Linked DNA regions of Coturnix japonica. The protein of the gene in region 3 interacts with the protein of the main gene of each other region in a biochemical or structural test. Links are inferred from orthologs where the notes say so. Each region holds a gene or a part of one and is shown on either strand. Other genes may lie near its edges.

Region 1 (4,653 bases), on a different chromosome or scaffold from region 3:
ATGCAAAACAATTCCTACCCAAACACTGAAAAAAGAGAAAAACAAAGCAAATCACAGCAGGACTGAGCGAGGAGGCAGAAAAGCATAAGAAGCTAAAGACAGCAAGGTGAAACAACAGATATATAACATCTTTCACTTGATGTTAGGATCTATCTCCAGTAAACTTCAATAAAACAATGCATTTTATCCTACCAGCATGTAAAGTCGACAGTTCAGTTAATAATCAGTAGAGAAAAGGCACAGAAGACCTTAAAAAGAAAACAGAACAATTGAAAGAGAATTCAAAGCAGGGTCCATGAAGTGCGGCCACCAGGGGGACCCGCACGGCTCCACCACACGTGGGAGGGAATCTGCAGAAGGCTCCGAGGTTCTAAGAAAGCTACATTTCACTAGAATGCACGTTGTCTATCAGACTGTTGTTTTATTTCCCCTCCAGATGACAAGATAACAAGATGAAATGCAGGAACAGTTGCCTCTTAAGTTTTTCCATTACTGCGTTTTCTTTTCTGCTGTGATATGGTGACTGCCTACTGGATCAAAACAACACATTTCTGTCAGGTAATTCCCTGTCGAATCCAGTCCTTTACATGGCCCATAAAGATAGGGTGGCTGCAGGGGGAAGCTTCCTATATCGGCTCTGAGTACTGCCATGACTTAAAGTTATTTGCACCTGAAGCAGGAAGTAGTTCTTCATTTGTTTTAACCCACGAGCAGAATGGCATTGCATGAGCAGCTTCTTCCACTCCTACACACAGGCTGCCCACTGCTACAGACTAACAACAACCAGGCTCCCTTCACAGCTACATCTACAGCAAAGGAAACGTTAAAAAGAAGAAACCTCTTCAGAAAAGGTGCTACTCCCAGCAAACATCACTTCTTTCATTTTAAAATCCTCTTTGAAGAGCTCTGGATTCTACTGGGAGCACAAAATACCCACTTCAAACAAACTCAAATCATGGCAGTGCCACACTGTGGGGCTAGGAGAAGTGTTGGAACTGTTTCCTCCTTCCCCCCAGCCAGATACAGGAGCTTATGGCCTCTCCCCCTACGTTTTAGCCCACTGAATGCTCTGTAATTAGCTATGTGAGAAATCAGAGCCTTCCTACCACCCTCAGTGCTCTGTAAGGTTGGTCTAACAGCACAAGCAACCAAGATCCACAAACACTAGGAAAAGAAAAGGGAGAAAAAGGAATAGATGCAAGATAAATTCAGAATAATTTCTGCTAACTCCAACAAGACTGGCTAATAATCATGCCTCCTCTTATAAATACAGGTGAACAAGCTAATTCAAGTAGTTCTATGTGAAGAAGACACATTTATCTGTCCATTTTGTATCAAAGGGCAAAATCCCAAATCAATAGTCCATTTCCATTAGTAATAAAAACAAGCTCTGAGTTAAACTAATACAATAAGCACGACCACCAAATATAAGAAAACAGATAACGGAAAGAGATTACTGTCATAGATAAAACAGTAATACAAAAAGGAAAGTTTCACATCCTCTAATCAAGACCAAGAATGTAATAGCCAGCCAGACATTAAGCGATGCGACCAAAAAGGCAGAACAGCTCACCCTTATGCAATTACAAGAATTACTTGCCCTCAGCAACCAACAGTTTGACAAATACTACTGATGCATTTCTACTTCACAAAGAGACAACACTAATTTCATTGTTAAAACCCAGACCTATAGAAAAGACTGATTCACTGCTCCTACATTATTGTTTGGAAATGAGTAATCTAAAAAAGCAAACACTGCTCTTCTCGTAATGACTCTATCTTCTAGCCAGAACTGTTTTTAAAAGGGTATGTTTAGACTTTTTTGCATTAATTTGTAGACTGGCTGTGTGTGTGCACTCATTCCCATAGCTCCAGCCGTACAGAAGTGAGCACCCAAGCTGACTTTGCTCCCACCATGCAGTTGTCTGCTATCAATCTGAGAACATACATTAACACTGGGATATTCTTAAATATTTGTCATTATCTTTAATGCTTTTGGAGTTTAGGTGATTAATGTACTACTTCAAGACCACTCAGAAATACAGTGGGATTTTTTGAGCTCTGCATCACAGGTAATTTTGGTAGCAGCTCCGAGTTCAGCTCCACCACTGCCTACAACTGACTTCTTAGTCGACAGTGTGGGTTAAACTTCTCTGTCCTGAAAATCACATGAGATGAGGTTTGCAGCTCAGCCCGCAAAACCGAGAGCTAAAATCTACCACAGGTGTACAATACAAAAGCACTCAGACGCTAAGCTGCACCCCAAGTTTAAAAATAACACGACAAACATTTGTTTTCTGGCCTCCTTGGAGCAATCCGCAGCACCCGCAGTTGCTCGGAGTGGAACCACCACCACCACCTGATGTAGCACCGGGGGCAGCAGCCGGGCCAGCAGACCGAGGACAGCCCCGGACTGAGGACCGGACCGACAACCCCCCCGACACGCCGCCACCTGAGCGGGGCCGGGCCGCCCGCGCCGGGAGCTGTCACCTCAGGTGCCTCCCGATCTAGGTCAGCCGCCTCGAGCCGCCGCTCCCTGCTCCCACCTCCGCGCTCCGCCCGCCAGCCGCGAGGGGACCGCGGTTTAGATTTATTTTCATAAGAAATCCAAGAAAAATAGAAAATCTCGGGGCACCCCCGGGCACCAGAGAGAGGCGGGCCCGCAGCCCGCCCCGCACTGCCGAGCACCGCAGCCGGGAGCTGCATCGACACTCCGCGGCCGAGCCGGCGCCGGGAAGGGCGGGGGGGGGGGGGGGGAGTCCGCGCCGGGGCTGCCCCGTGCCGCGGTGCCCGGCCGGGACGGAGGGAGCAGGGGAGCCATCCCCGTCCCCGTCTCTTTCCCTCCCCGCCCCGCAGAGCCGCTTACATTTTCTGCACAGGTTTCCGCCGCTTGCGACTGGCGTAGGTGACATTGGGGTTCATCCTGCCGCGGCTCCAGCGCCCCGCACCGCCGGGGGCCGCCTCGCTGCCCGCCTCGCCCCGGCTGCCGGGAGGGGGCGAGTCCCGGCGGCGCCGCAGCTCCTGCCTCGCCCGCGGGCCCCGGCCCTGCCGCCCGCAGTAGCGCGCTCACAGCGGCGGCACCTCCCCTGGCCCGGCGAGGACGGAGGGAGGCGGAGGCGGCGCGGGGCGGGGATCCCAGGTGATCGGCGGCGGCGACACCCACTCCCCGCACGGCGCCTCCGCACGGCACAGGTGTGAGGGCGGCCGGGTCTCCGTAGCGCCGCTCGGACCCGCGTCTTCCTACCGAGTCCGCACAGACTCTCTGCCGGCCTCACCGTCTCCCAGCCCGTCTGCGAGCCGAGCGCCTGTCAGTGTGCGCGGCGCCCGGCCGGGCCTCCCCGCCCAGCCCAACCCAACCCCGCTCCTCCCGCTGCCGCCACCGCGCTGCCGGCCCGGGCCCGCCCCGCAGCCTGACAGCGCCGCCGCCCCGCGCCGAGGAGGCCCCTTGCGGCGGCGGCGCGGAGGGAGGAGGGGGCGGCCGCGCCGCCATGTTGGGGAGGTCAGGCGAGGGGACGGCGGCGGAGCGCCGCGGGCAGCGGGGGATTGAGCTGGGCTGGGGAACGGGAACGAGAGGCTGCCCCCGCCTTGTGCGGCCCCGAGGCTGCAAAGATGCAAAGCAGGCTGCCTCCCAAAGCGGGCTGGGAGCCGGCCCCGGGCAGCGGCCGAGTCGGGGAAGAGGTGGAAGCGCGGCCGCACCAAGCGCAGGGACCGCGGGGCGCTCCGGGCAACGCTGCGGTTCCCTGAGCTCCAGGGGAGAGGAAGGGGGCACGGGATGCGGCCAGTGCCTCGTGCGGGGATAAGGTGGCGAGTTACGGCGCTGACGTGTGAAATGAACACTGATGTTGCAGAAAAGGAGCAATGTGGCAAAAAGCACAAGGTGCTGCCACGCTGCCGACACGCAGAACCGCCGGAGGAGCCCCTTCGTGCCTTTGTGACCCGCCGCTGCTTCGCCCTCCTGTTTTCTTCCTCCGTTTCCTCTCACAAGAACAGAGCTCTTCCCCCGGAATAACGGCAATAAATTTTCTCTCCGCACTCAGCTTGGGAGACGGGGAGTCGCCCTGTATAAACACGGCCGTGAGCGGCGGTGCCTGCGGGAGAGCCTGGCTGAGAGCTCCCGGAGCTGGCAGGGCTCTTCCCGGCTCTCCGGAGCCCGCAGGCTCTTACCCACGTGCCGCCTGGCAGCCGGGCTGCGGGCTTCAGCCTTCCCTCGCTCTCCCTGCTTGGCTGCGAGGAGGCTGAGGCAGTGTCCTTGGTGCTGGCTTGCTCCTGTCTGCCGACGCTGGCCGGGCTGCGGGAGTTCAATCGGCAGCCACGCTTTCCTTCGCCGGCTGTTGAAACCAATGCTGTGGTTATGCAAGTGTTCCGGCTCCGCTTTGCTGACAGTGTTTGTCAGCCGTGGCCCAGGTATTGCCGTACGGCAGCCGGTGAGAAGCAGCGCCGGGATTGTGCAAGGCCTGGTTGCCCGGCTCCGACATCCCGTGCGTCCCGCAGTGGTATGGGCCTCGTCCTCAGAAGCTCACAGCGTGAATTAGACGACATAACGCACGCTTGTTTACCAGCTTAATTGCTCGAGTTTAATTGCCTGGGAAGCTATCCCAGATGCAGAGTGCGCTGAAGCCACAGTATTCAGATAAAATTAATTTAAATAAATCT
Region 2 (4,037 bases), on a different chromosome or scaffold from region 3:
TTTATATGCATTCACATTACTCTCCAAGCCGCAGTATTGGAGACTTGGGGAATTCTCATTCATATGCAATGCTAATAATTCAGTCCTTAGGTTGTGATTAGACTGAGTTATGCAGTTAAGATGCATCTCATTTGTGTATTCCAGTATTTACAAAATATAGTTGTCTCTTTCTAAAGCCAGTAAATGCTGGAAGACTTGCAATGTAAAATCTCTCCTGGTAACTGGGGCAGAGTGGTTGGAGTTAGTATCTAACTCACTGCTCCTGGGACAAATCTCTTCATTTGTTGAATATGCTTCTCAAGGAATTAACGTGAGAGTTAGTTGTAAAAGGGTTTTATTCAGTCTTGAAATACAGTACAGAGTTGGACCGTAAGGTCTGACATTCTCCTGAAATTTCATAGCAACTTTTGGAGTAATTTTCAGAGAGCATAATGATGAGGTTGTTACCAGCTTTTCACTGTTGTTTTCACATTCCCACTTCTTGAAATGCATGCAAACAGATGTTCCTCGGGTGACGTCTTTATGATCTGGCCTGTTTTGCTCCAGATTGTTAGTTGTTGACTAGAAATTAGATGCAGGTTGTAAATGTAACTACATGCAAGTGAAATGTGAATCAAGGGTAACACCTGTTGCCTACTAAGTATTTCAACATTAAACATTGATCATTGAAAACAAAGCACTGGGGAAAGGAGCATAGAAGGAATGGACAAGAGTGCGTTATCTTTTCTGATGTGCAGCATCTCTTTTCTTCAGAGCATTGTCTTTACCACACTGCCTGTACGGTTTACCAGGCCTTTTTGAAGCCAGCTGTTTTTAATGAAGGGGAAAATGGGGGGGGAAAGTGTTCCTACAATTTAGGAGTTAAACTATCATATTCTTAAAGTATTAGGGAGGAAAATATAAGGCAGGCTCAATTTCTTTGCATCTCTTCCCACATATGCGGTATAACTTCTTAAGGTCATTTTAAGGCATTATCTTTTATAATTGATGCCAGCTTTTAGGAGACATGGTTATTAAATTCATTTTGCAATCTAGAGCCTGCATTTTTTTTTGCTCCATGAAAGACCTAAACAAACACAGCTGTTTAGTATGATGCGCTTAAAGAGGTTTTGTATTTTAATCATCCACTTTTTCCCGCATTCATTCTCTTTCATTTTTAAAATATGGTGAGTTTCGCACTGCCATTGATGTTAGCAGGATGCCAACATTAATAGTGATGCTGTTTTATCTTTGTGTAAGTCCACAGAGCAGTGACTCAGCACACACTACAGCAGAGGAAAGAAAAGTAGTTCTGAGCTTCCTTATGTTGGCGGTAGGAAGTACTGGGCCGCAGAATGAAGGCATTTAAATGGAAAACAGACAAACATGCAAGCTTATATATAAGATATAAGCTTATTTATTGTCAGATTATTGTCATTAGTCTTATTGAAATGAATGTTGGGTTTCCTTTCTTGCTTCACAAGACATACTGGTATTAGCTGAAGGCTCACTGAATATTTATTTATGTAAAACCCAAACAGCTTGACAGGGAAAACAGTATTAAGGTTATTTTTATTAGTATACAGAACACTTTTTTTTCTCCACCGTGGAATTATGCTGGTTTTGGTCTCAGTCAGCAGAATTAAGAGAGGAGCATTAATAAGAGCTGATGATTAGAGAATGAACATGCAGTAAATAGAAAGAATGAAGACAGAATGCAAACTTTTTCAAGTAAACATTTTGCTTCACTGCTGTATATTCAGTACTGGAAGGTAAAAGCTAATAAAGAAAACCAAACCAGAATGAACTGACTTACATTCCATTACAATCAATGCCTTTTCTTTTGTTTCTTTTTAAGTAAAAATGGAGTACCTTGAGTCTTGAATGAGTTTTCCTTCCAGCACAGCCTGTGGAGTCTTTCAGCTTCTTGATGTTACAGCTTTTTCAACTATTATTAGGAAAATGCATTTTTAAATTAGCTGAAGTTTAGTGTTACCTTCGCGTTCAATGCCGAAGCAGATTTCGTATTTCAGTATTGAAATTTAAATGAGTTTTCTTTAATATGAGGGACCAAGAAATGACTTGGATTCTATGTGTGACACCTCTACAAACTCCTATGCAACAGGAAACAGATTGTTCCTCCTTGTGTTATTACAACCTATTTATGTCTTGGAAATAGTATTTCATTAAGGTTTATAAGAGTGGTTTTCATTTTAAGTTAATTATTTTTTGTAACACATAGACAGCTTTTGGGAGGGTGTCTGCTCAGTAGCAGAAAGTTAACTCACACAATGAAGTGCAAACAGTGATCTTTACCCTCACTGACTTTGTGGTGAAAGAAAAGCATGTATTTCTTCCTGCTATTCAAAGCACGGAACCCACTGTGCACATAAAGCACTTACTAACATATTGATTTGGTTACTAAGCTACCTGACCTCTATATACTTACTTCTGTGGTTTCGGTTGTCCATTTGTTGTTTGCCTTAATGTGGAGAAACAGTAAATAGTAAAAGAAAAAAAAAATGAGAAAAGGAAGTTTGCTTGTACTTCTTAACTAGTTTGTCAAATGTTTGCCTGTCATTGCTGTCAGGAACATTGTATTAGTGCAAAATAGGTATTGAAATAGCTGTAAATGTAAACGTCATACTCAGGGATTGCTGTTAAATGGGAAGAAGAAAGAAATGTTTGGCAACCTGTTATCCTTTCCACCCATTCTTTGCAGGGATTGCAGTGTGTAACGTGCCAGCTGCCTCTGTAGAAGAAACAGCGGATTCTACCATGTGCCACATTCTGAACTTGTACAGACGAACCACCTGGCTTCACCAGGCCTTGCGGGAAGGCACGAGAGTACAAAGCGTTGAACAGATTCGGGAAGTGGCTTCTGGAGCTGCCAGGATCAGAGGGGAGACCTTGGGCATTATTGGATTAGGTACGTTTGGTGGTGATGTAGTTTAATACTCTTTTCTGTCCAAAGGAATTAAATCTTCCTTTCCAAAGATTTGAGCTATAGAGACAGTATGCTTCACTCTGTTCCATGCCAAACATTCTGTATAGTACCACTTCATTCCTGGTGTTTATATTTCTGAGATATTTTCCCCATAGACATCATAGTTTCCATCAGACAATTTTTGCAGCTGATATTCTTCGAACTCTTTGAGTTTCTGTACATCTTTCTGCTATTGTAATGCCCACTGCCAGGCATGTTGGTTGTAAGGGGAAAAGGCACCGTTGTTTCCCTTCTCCAGGACAAGGATTCTGCTACCTGTACCCAGTTATCGTGTGTATTTGTTGTGCATTGTCATGTCTGGGTCTATTTGTGCTTGTTTCTGTTTCTTGTGTTTGATATGTCTGGGAGGTCTTTGCTGCAGGAACAAACTGCAGAGCTGTTACTTCTTGCATTTGATCAGGCTACGTCTGAATTTGTATTTCAGTTCAAATGAGAGGAAAAAATATATGCAAGAAAGTTTTAAATGTTTCCAGACCTAATAAAATCACCTAGTTAGATTTAGGGACATTCAGAGAGGTATTTCAGCATCTAACAGATGGACAAGCTTGCTTGAAATGAATTCATTACTGTCTGTTATAGAAGCAGAAAAGAAATGCAAGTCAGTTTTTATATAAGAATTAGTTGTGTACCTGTCTTATCAAAGACCTCACAGACACTGAATGTAATTGCCATAGTATTCATCCACAGGGATTAATGATACGGTTTTGACAACGGGGCATTATATTTAAATGACTGTTCCAGTTATACTTTGAAATATCACAGGCCATGAGCTCTCTGGAATTTGGAAGTAGCTTTGTGTTATGTAGTATTCATTGGAATGAGCATGCAAGGAGTCTTAATAGTTAAGGAACATCCTTTAAAATACAGCCTTTAAGATGTTGGTCGTGGAGTGTCTTTCTCAAATCTATATCCATGTGTTAATCCACCTCATTTAAGCACAGAGTGGTTATTGTCATCATGGTCACAGCACCTATACAGAAATAGCAGATAAATCACCTGTAGTGTTTTAAAAAATGGAAATGCACAATGCAGTTTTGAAACTTAAGTCTTC
Region 3 (4,588 bases):
GCTCTCGTCAGTATCTCTCTGCATTCCTTGTATGTTCTCATCCAGAAATGAAAGCACAAACCAATTGATTTTAAGGTTCAGGCCAGTCCGTAAGAGCTATTCTAAAATTAACGAGACATTACAGTCTTAGAGCCCTCTCCATGATAGCCCTGCAATGAGGTGTGGAGCACAAGGGTTGAGTAAGGCAGCTGACTGTGGGAAATGTAACTCCCCAGCTTTGCCCTGGGCAAGTTTATACATGTGCTCCACACAATGCGAGGCATAGTTTATCTTTGAGTGTGTCCTGCACTGTCACCAGTAAAATTAACAGTGCTCTCATGGCTAACAATAATACAGCTGGCACTGCAGAAACCTTTTGCCAACGTTCAAATACAGGGAAAAAGAAAAAGGAGAAAAAAAAAGTGAGCTATAAGCTTTAACACAAGTAAACAAGCTTTTACCAATGAATTAAAAAACAGCCCAATGTTAAATAACAGCTACAAGCAAATACCTACCAGTAGGCTAACCCACATCTGAGTTCTACAACCTTTAGTGAATCAGTTTTAAAAATATAAAGTCTTTAATGTCTTTCACATTACAGAACTCATCCTACGTACAGCAGACTACTGACCATCAAGGTGATACCACCAACCCTTATCAATCACCTGTTTACAATTAAAAAATATCAGTTCGCTTTCAATTCTTTATGAATGTATTTTCTATGACTATAATAAACGTTGGTCATTTCTGCTCTCCAGCTGCGTTTAGTGTATCTGTGGCTTTAGAAGCAGAAACGTGGAGCAAAGAGGAAGGCGTGTCTCATTTGATATTTTTTTATCCCATATCTACTTGGAAGGGGGAGGAAGGGGACACACACTTAAGTTATTTAAGTAAATAATAATAATGCAGCACGGTTTGGCATTTGACAGCTCCTTTACTCTGTGCACACATGGTAAACAAAAAAGCCACTGCCGGGATCCCCCTGGTTAGATCACTAAGAGCTACAGGCAGGGCAGTCCAACAGGAGGCCAGCTTCCAGCCCTGCCTAAAACACACAGCTAAGGGTAACAAGTGCCTACTTGTTAGTTCTTCCTTCCTGCTGACAAAAACATACACCCATCCATCTACAGATTTAAAGCACACACACAAAAAAAAGCCACCAGCTGCTTTATTCTGGAGGCTATCTCAGGCCATACGAGTGCTGATAACGCAACAGGGCAGACTTCCTCAGCCACAAGCTCAGGAAGACAGCTGTCCCAGCAGCAAGAGCCAGAGCCCTGCTCGAACGCAGCTCTGACTGCGAACTCCTGCTCTCCGAGCGCCTGCTCCTGCTGCCCGCGGAGCAGCAATTACTCAGATGCCATCGGATCAGCTCTAAGCCACAAGCGCTCCCAGCCGGGTGAGCCCGTACCACGGGGCCTCTGGATGTGCCACCGGGCAGCGATCAGCCGGGCCCGTGGCAGCGCTCCTCAGGTCGGTGTGGGTCTGCTGCTCCCCTCGGAACGCCCCAGCTCTCCAAGGAGTCTCCCTGCGTCTCGCAGACCACATCTGCCCTCTCCGTTAAACGGAGCGGTACAGCACCTCTAAACACGCACCGTGCCATGACTCAGTTAAATTCCACTCAGCGGCAGTGAGCACCCAGCGCTGCGCCCAGCTCCCTCCGAAGGAAGCCCAGGGCAGCCCGGCTCCTGGATTGCAGACAGATGAGGCAGAAGAGAACAACTTCCACGTCACCTTCTCCAACATCACCGCACCGCCAAAGACGGGAATCGCGCTGCTTCATTAATATTATTTTCCCTTCCAACATCTTCAACACGTGTCAAGCATTTTAGCTTAACTCTTCTTAAAATTAAGAGCCTATAATAAACAGACATGCGGCACAGACACAAGGCTGCGTGCACTGAGGAAGCTTCCTCTTATTCCGTCCACGCTCCGACACCACGTTTCCCCAGCTTTCGCTCCGTTCCAAGTTAATTACCCGCTGACACTTACACAGAGCAGCCTCCGACAGCGCGTTCCGCAGGGAGAAATCACCTTTTAAAGGGCTTCGGGGACAACAACACACGCCCGCACAGTAACCTTTGGTCTGGAAGGGGAACGGCGACGTCCCCGCGGGGCCGCGAGAGCGCCGGCGCTGAGCACGCAGCCCCGTGGCGGCGGGCAGGGAGCTGCGCGCCCGCAGGTGGAGGTGGAGCGAGCAGCGGCCGTACCGGGGCAGCGGGGGCCGGGAGGCGGCGGCCATCGGGAGGGCGGGCAGCGAGGCCGCGTCCCGGCGCTGCCCCGGGCGGCGCCTCCCGACCCCTCGGGCGCTGCGCGGCCGGCTGCGACTCCCGAAATAATCCACGCCGAGGGGAGAAGGAGCGGAGAGCGGCGCTGCGGCCGGCCCCGCGCTAAACGCCGCTAACTTTTCCGCCCCTCCGGCTCGCCGAGCCCCGCGGCCGGGTAACTTCCAGCCCGCCCCACCGGAAGCGCTCCCCGCCGCGACCACCCCGCTCCCGGCTCACCCCGGCATTGTTCCCCGCCGCCGCCCGGCAGCGCAGCGCCGCGCCGCCCCGTCCCCGCCCGCCGCGCTCACCCGCCGGCCTCGCCTCACCGCGGACAGCGGGGCTCCGGCAGCGCGGACAGCGGCGGCTCCGAGCTCGGAGCCCCCCGTCCCCGACTATTAGACGCACCGAGCCTCCCCGCGCCCTCGCCCCGCAACACGTACACAGCGAGCCGAGCTCTGCGCCGCTCCCCTCCGCGATTCGGGGCTCTGCTGCAATGCCTGTGAGGCTGACTTTCAAAGCCTAACCCGCAGCCGCGATCTTCCCCGCCTTCCACCTCGCCCGGCGCGGCGCAGCCCGGCCCCTCCTCCTCCCTCCTCCCCCCTCGCCATTCATCTCCTCCGCCAAGTTCCTTAACCCTTCTCGCTCCCGGGCGCTGGGGCAGGCAGGTGGCCGTCAGCCGCCTTCCCGCTGCTGGGCCGCTCGTGAAGCCCCGGGAGCGAACTCACCGCAGGACCTATATTTAATAAAAAAAAGCTTCGAAATAACACCTTTTTTAATTTCTCTTCCCCACTCCCCCCACCCCCCTTGCTTGTTAAGCATAACGTGGGGAGGCTTCCTGTGGTTACCGCTTTAGAGCTTCTTTTTGCAGCCTTTCCACTGTAAAACTTTTTTTCCTCTCCTGCCCCCGGCCCCGCTGACCCCCGGCCTGGCCCTCGCAGCTCCGAGCACACACCTCAGCCCGCGGCCTGTGCATCTCCACTGCCAGGGGCTTCACGCAGATGGAAGCAGCCTCTCCTCTGCTGTCAGGTGTTGAGAATTGGGGTTGTGGCAGCCTATGAAAACATGGAGTGACCCACGCCCCAGTAAGTGAACAGGTCGTGAGAACAACCTGGGACAGGGCCTCCAAAGAGAACTAGTCCTCCATCTTGGCACAGGGCATCCACGCAGGACTGTGCTGTGAGAAAGTACCTTATGAGTCTGTTAGCAGTCAAGGTTTTCTGTAGACTCCGTTCCCATCAAAGAATAGTCGAAGAGTCAGTAGATCCACACCAGACTGTCTGTTTAGTCGAACTACAGAAAGTGCATGACCTCAGCCACGTCATCCATGGACAGAGCAGAGCCTGTGTTTAAAGAGAGCCGTGATGCTGTGTAAAGCATTTCTTAAACAGTGTGCAGAACTCTTTGTGACACTTCTCTTAGAAGTTAAGGATCGCAAGGAGAAACATTTGTTTACAAATCATTTATACGCTGCACGATGATATCTGTACTAACGTATGCCAATATTTTGGTTCTGAAACTCATGTAAAATAAGTGGCGTACCCAAGTGTGGTTTAGTAACAGGCTGATATCATGAAAGAACATACGAGTTTCTGCTTAAGGAAAGCAAAAGGGAGTCCTGTTTGTGAAAAGCCAAATGCTTGAGCTCACAGATACCACGGCTGAAGTGCACGTAGGAATGTGGAGAAAACCCCTTTTCCTTTGGAATGCGTGGATTGTGTATGCGCTTACAGCAGAGCTACTAATGTATTACTTGACCTATTTTTTTAAGCCAATGAAAGATTTAGGTTAACTTCATCATCATGTGTTTTTAACCACTTTTTTTCTTTTTTTCCAGAAAAGCAGCAGCGTTTGCTAAAGCTACTGTGTGTCACATTTTATACACAACGGCCTCTTTTTCTCTGGGAGAATGTCTCACCATATCACCAGACCATGCTGCCAGTAAAACAACTAGTTCTGCTGTTCCTTTCCACGGGAGCCTCATTAACAAATTCTGTTTGTAAAGAAATGATCTTTCATTTTTTATTCCTCTAAAAATCTTTATCTCAAAAAATGTTTCACTGTTAAGCAGCTGAATTATCAAGGGGAAAGGAAATTTTCTCATTACTGCAGCAATTTAGCTGCTATTTCAATCAAGAATGTCTGTAGTAGAGACCTCTTTCATTCTTAACCTTAGGGAACGTTGCACAGACGAGAGACCTACAAAAGGAGGCATCTTGAACAAGCAACAGAAAAAAAAAATGTCCGTGTGAAATATTGAAGATACTTTTGAGTAGATGAAATAAAGGTAGCTGAGGAATTAAGTTTCTATACGATTCAGTCAACTGTGGTTGTATTAAACACTA
Region 4 (4,037 bases), on a different chromosome or scaffold from region 3:
AACTTACATTGTCAAGCATTACAAGCACATTACAGCAAATGGAAACTTTAGCAAACAATCCAAATAAGAGCCTGATCTTTGAAAGATGGTTGATACTTCTGTGATCCATTATAGGCAACTAAGACTTTTTTTTTTTTTTTTTTAAAGAAGTTCTCCTATTTTATATCAAAGTTCACCTGTTAGAGTGCTTATTCATGTGCATACACACAGTCTTAGTTCCCCTCTAGGAGCTATTCTGGCACTTAACAGGCAAATAAAATACTTTGGATGTATATAAATTGTTGATAAACTTATACATTCAGAAGTTTCTTGGAAAACAAAGAATGCATTTGATAAAGTAAGCTGAGTTTTGATCTTTAGTGGATGTAATCATTTTGTGACACGTAGTTTTATGAGATCTCCGAACAAAAAATAGATCTAAGTTCCCTAACCCTATTGTTATAATTTGATTAATTACATTAACTATCCAAATAAAATATCACAGAATACAAATGATTTCAGTTGGAAAACATATTGAATTTAAATTGTAGCATATTCACATTCAGTGTAAATCAATAGTTTGTAACAGAGTTAGATTAATTATGTCTCTAAAATCAGGAGAAATATTATTTGAATTTAGCTGGTTTTCTATCGTAGAGCTTTAACACTGTGGACATATGTTTATCTTTCAAAAGTATTTTATAAAGACATGATCCAAAGCACACCAAATTAACACGAGAACTTGTTCTTGAACTGAACAGGCTGTAAATAAGACCTTAAACACTGCAGCTTTATGAAAACAAAAATGAAAATCTCAGGTGATTTTTTATAATATGAGAAATGGAACACTCACAGGTTCTCATTGATCATAGCTGGAGTCCACAGAGTGACATGTGAAAAGTGCTAAGAAGGGAACCCATGAGGACTGGAAAAGACTCAGATTTTATGGGTTAGTGATTTTCCAGAAAGAGTCTTGCCAAGTTTAAATGAAGAAAACTAAAAAAATGGCATAACTCATGCAATGAGTTGAGGTCATGCACTCTGTAATGGTAAGTGAGAGATGCGGAAGTGTTCCCTAATATTCCTTTATAAAACAGCTACAGTAAAAATTCAAGAGATCAGAATTCCAGTGAACTTTAAAGTATATATTACTGAGTATGTGTGTATGTGTAGCAAAATTACATATAATATGTGCAATAAATTTTTAATACATACTAAAATGTTAATTTCTGAAGTGGAACATTGTAGACTAACATTTTAAAAGAAAAAAAAGCCTTAATTACCACACTGTCATCTCATTTCACTGATATTAATTAATTAAATTATGTGATGGAATGTGCATCATATATTCAACCAAAATGGTCTCACAATTCTAAAATTCCCTTCTAGAACTGAGGGGTTAAAGCTGAGAAACCAAGATGTAACAAAGAGATAAAGATAAAAACATTCCATTCCAATGGGAAAAAATATATATTCAGAAAATACTTTCTGTATGATTTTTCAGACAAAAAAAAAAAAAAAAAAAAAACAAACAAAAAAAAAAACACATGCAAAACGTCTAACTTATGGGTGAAAAGGTAAATTTACAAATAAATAATACTAATATTAATGGTCTTGTTGGAAATGCCAATGTAATGGCAGATATTTCAAAAAGTTTAGCAACCTTAATTCCAAAAGGTCTAGATAATGAATATAATTAGATCAAATAGACTAGATTAGACACTTTTATTATTCTACTTCAGCTTGAAGGTTTTGTTTTTGTTTAATTGGAAAACACTTCCTATTCCCAAAATTGTATAATATTTAATAGTGCAAGTAAGACAGAATTAATGTACTTGTTTTATATATTGAAGGGCTTCTCAGATTTTTTTCATGTTGAGCTTTTTGTAGTCTGCTGGGGCTTTCTTTCCTTACCTGGAACTCTCTTTGCCCAGTTGATCATGTGCACTAATTCTCTGTCTGCAAGGTTGGTCAACAGGGTCATCATAGATGCTTCGTTGAATGGTCTATTGGGGTCATATTCAGAGTAAACTATGGGTGGCTCAGCTTCCAGCAAGGCACTGACCATCTGTTCTGCTGTCAGAGACAGGGCTGGACTGTTCTTCTTGTTATGTTTAACCACTAGTGGACTTGTCCAAAGGGTGGGAGCTCGCAGCTCTGTAGAAGAAGCCTCCCCGTTCCTGGACTCCTGCTCCTCTCTTTGACGTTTCTGTTTCATCATTCGCCCGCCTCTGCGGTCTTTCCGGATTCCTAGAGACATACAAGAATATAATGAACTCCTTTCCTTGAACACAGGCATTACATAAATTTGGCCTCAGCCAACCAGGAGCTGCTGTTCATAGGCCAGTGGAGCATTTACTCCTGGTTTATTGTCAAGGATTCTTCCTATATGTAGAATCTTACATGAGCAGTTGGAGAGAAAAAGTATTTTTAAAAGTATAGTATCAGAAATAGTGACAAAAGGCAGTAACTGGAAATAAATAAATATTTTTTACAGCACAAACCTTAATGTCATGTCCTAACCTCTAGTATGTAACTATCCAACAATTGATCAATAGCAGCTTCATGACCTGAGCAGGCTACATGTATAGCAGTAACAACTCTCAAAAAAAAATCTTTCCTCAACTTTCCCAATTCTAACTAAACACCAAACCATTACTATGGAGTGTGTGATCTTCCTAGTTAGGTAAGAAACACACAGAAAAGATACCATCATAAGATGGCCTTATACAGCATTAAGGATTGTTGTACAACCAGATAAACAGAAAAAAAAGGGAAGATAATTTCTGCCTCAAATCTAGTGTGGGTGACCTACTGTCAAAAGTCAGTAACAACTGGAACAGAAATTATCTTTGTCATTATTGCACATTTCTGCAATGTGCTTAGTTCCGAATGACCCTGGACCTTTGGAAGTTATCAAGTCTGCCATACTAATTAAAACAACAACACTAAGCCCTTACAGTAGAATAAAATCTCCTTTGTGGAAAGGTCATGAACAAATTGTAATGATAAAGTCCAAGTGTACTCCAATCATAAAGGGAGAATAAATGCTAGCTCTGAGTGGAGGAGGCACAGCTATTTTGAGAGAAGGGAAGGGATGTGAAGGGAAGGGAAGTGAATGGAAGAGAAGGAAAAGAGGAGGGGAGGGAAGGGGAAGAGAAGGGGAGGGGAGGAAAACTTTGAAATCTACTGGCCCTTAAAATAAATGAACATGGATCTTTCTGGTGGGTGGGGGGGGAGAAAAGACAATCTTTAATCAGCTTTTTTTCACACCACAAACTATATAATCTATTAGGCTTCCAATTTTTTGTTTGTTTGTTTGTTTGTTTCTCAAATCCAGTATTTCTTCATATAATTTCTTCTTCGGATTAATGGCTTTTAGATCCTACCAGCAGGTGCCCTCTTCCAATGGTAAAGACAGCATCTATAGATCAGTATGCCTCTTTCATGATATGTGATATGTTAAATGAATTTGTACTTGAAAATTAATCTCTTTAAGTCTAATTCTTTCAAGACCTAGCAGGCCTTCTGAATCTATCTATAAATCTTTCCATATACAGCAAGTTCCATAAATCTTTCATCACCCTTACTACTTAACCTCTCTACATTTTCCCATTAGTTAAACTAGCTGTAAGCCAAAAGTCTGAAGTGCATTCCTGTTCTCATTTTTCATTCAGTAATACCTACTACCACTAAATTATTTCTGTTTAGAAGATGAGGGAGATTCTTGCTATTAGGAAAAAAATAAAAGGCTTATTTTGGAACAATGCCATCCTGGAGTTAGTCTCATTGATAGCTTGCTTCATCAGACTACTCAGTATTCACGGACTACTCAGTATTATGCATGCTCTTCTGCAACAAATATATTTGGAAGTATGCTTTATTTCACTGTAATGTTTTTGAATTAAAATTACCCTTTGAAACACAAATAAATAATCATGTAACAAAAACCACATGGTTCATACACACTAAACATTTGCTAACTTTCCCACATTCCAAATTCTACAGCTGCTCATGCAACCATTTCCCTTTGAAGAGTTAAAAGTATTCTTGGAGTC

Evidence for each region.
Region 1: the proteins of NRIP1 (region 3) and AHR form a complex in vitro, tested with the Homo sapiens proteins (2 studies listed by BioGRID). The link is inferred for Coturnix japonica from reciprocal best matches to the Homo sapiens genes NRIP1 and AHR.
Region 2: the proteins of NRIP1 (region 3) and CTBP1 form a complex in vitro, tested with the Homo sapiens proteins (2 studies listed by BioGRID and IntAct). The link is inferred for Coturnix japonica from reciprocal best matches to the Homo sapiens genes NRIP1 and CTBP1.
Region 4: the proteins of NRIP1 (region 3) and ESR1 form a complex in vitro, tested with the Homo sapiens proteins (4 studies listed by BioGRID, with this or other methods). The link is inferred for Coturnix japonica from reciprocal best matches to the Homo sapiens genes NRIP1 and ESR1.

What each region holds. Positions count from the first base shown.
Region 1 is NC_029517.1:26,398,853-26,403,505, reverse strand, and holds the start of AHR (aryl hydrocarbon receptor), read right to left. Parts: upstream 2,923-4,653; coding exon 2,867-2,922; intron 1-2,866. UniProt on the Homo sapiens protein: Ligand-activated transcription factor that enables cells to adapt to changing conditions by sensing compounds from the environment, diet, microbiome and cellular metabolism, and which plays important roles in development, immunity and cancer.
Region 2 is NC_029519.1:76,821,348-76,825,384, forward strand, and holds part of CTBP1 (C-terminal-binding protein 1), read left to right. Parts: intron 1-2,701; coding exon 2,702-2,908; intron 2,909-4,037. UniProt on the Homo sapiens protein: Corepressor targeting diverse transcription regulators such as GLIS2 or BCL6. Has dehydrogenase activity. Involved in controlling the equilibrium between tubular and stacked structures in the Golgi complex.
Region 3 is NC_029516.1:88,468,236-88,472,823, forward strand, and holds the start of NRIP1 (nuclear receptor-interacting protein 1), read right to left. Parts: upstream 2,960-4,588; 5' UTR 2,687-2,959; intron 2,671-2,686; exon of another isoform or gene 2,652-2,670; intron 2,156-2,651; exon of another isoform or gene 1,972-2,155; intron 1-1,971. UniProt on the Homo sapiens protein: Modulates transcriptional activation by steroid receptors such as NR3C1, NR3C2 and ESR1. Also modulates transcriptional repression by nuclear hormone receptors.
Region 4 is NC_029518.1:44,222,295-44,226,331, reverse strand, and holds part of ESR1 (estrogen receptor 1), read right to left. Parts: intron 2,230-4,037; coding exon 1,894-2,229; intron 1-1,893.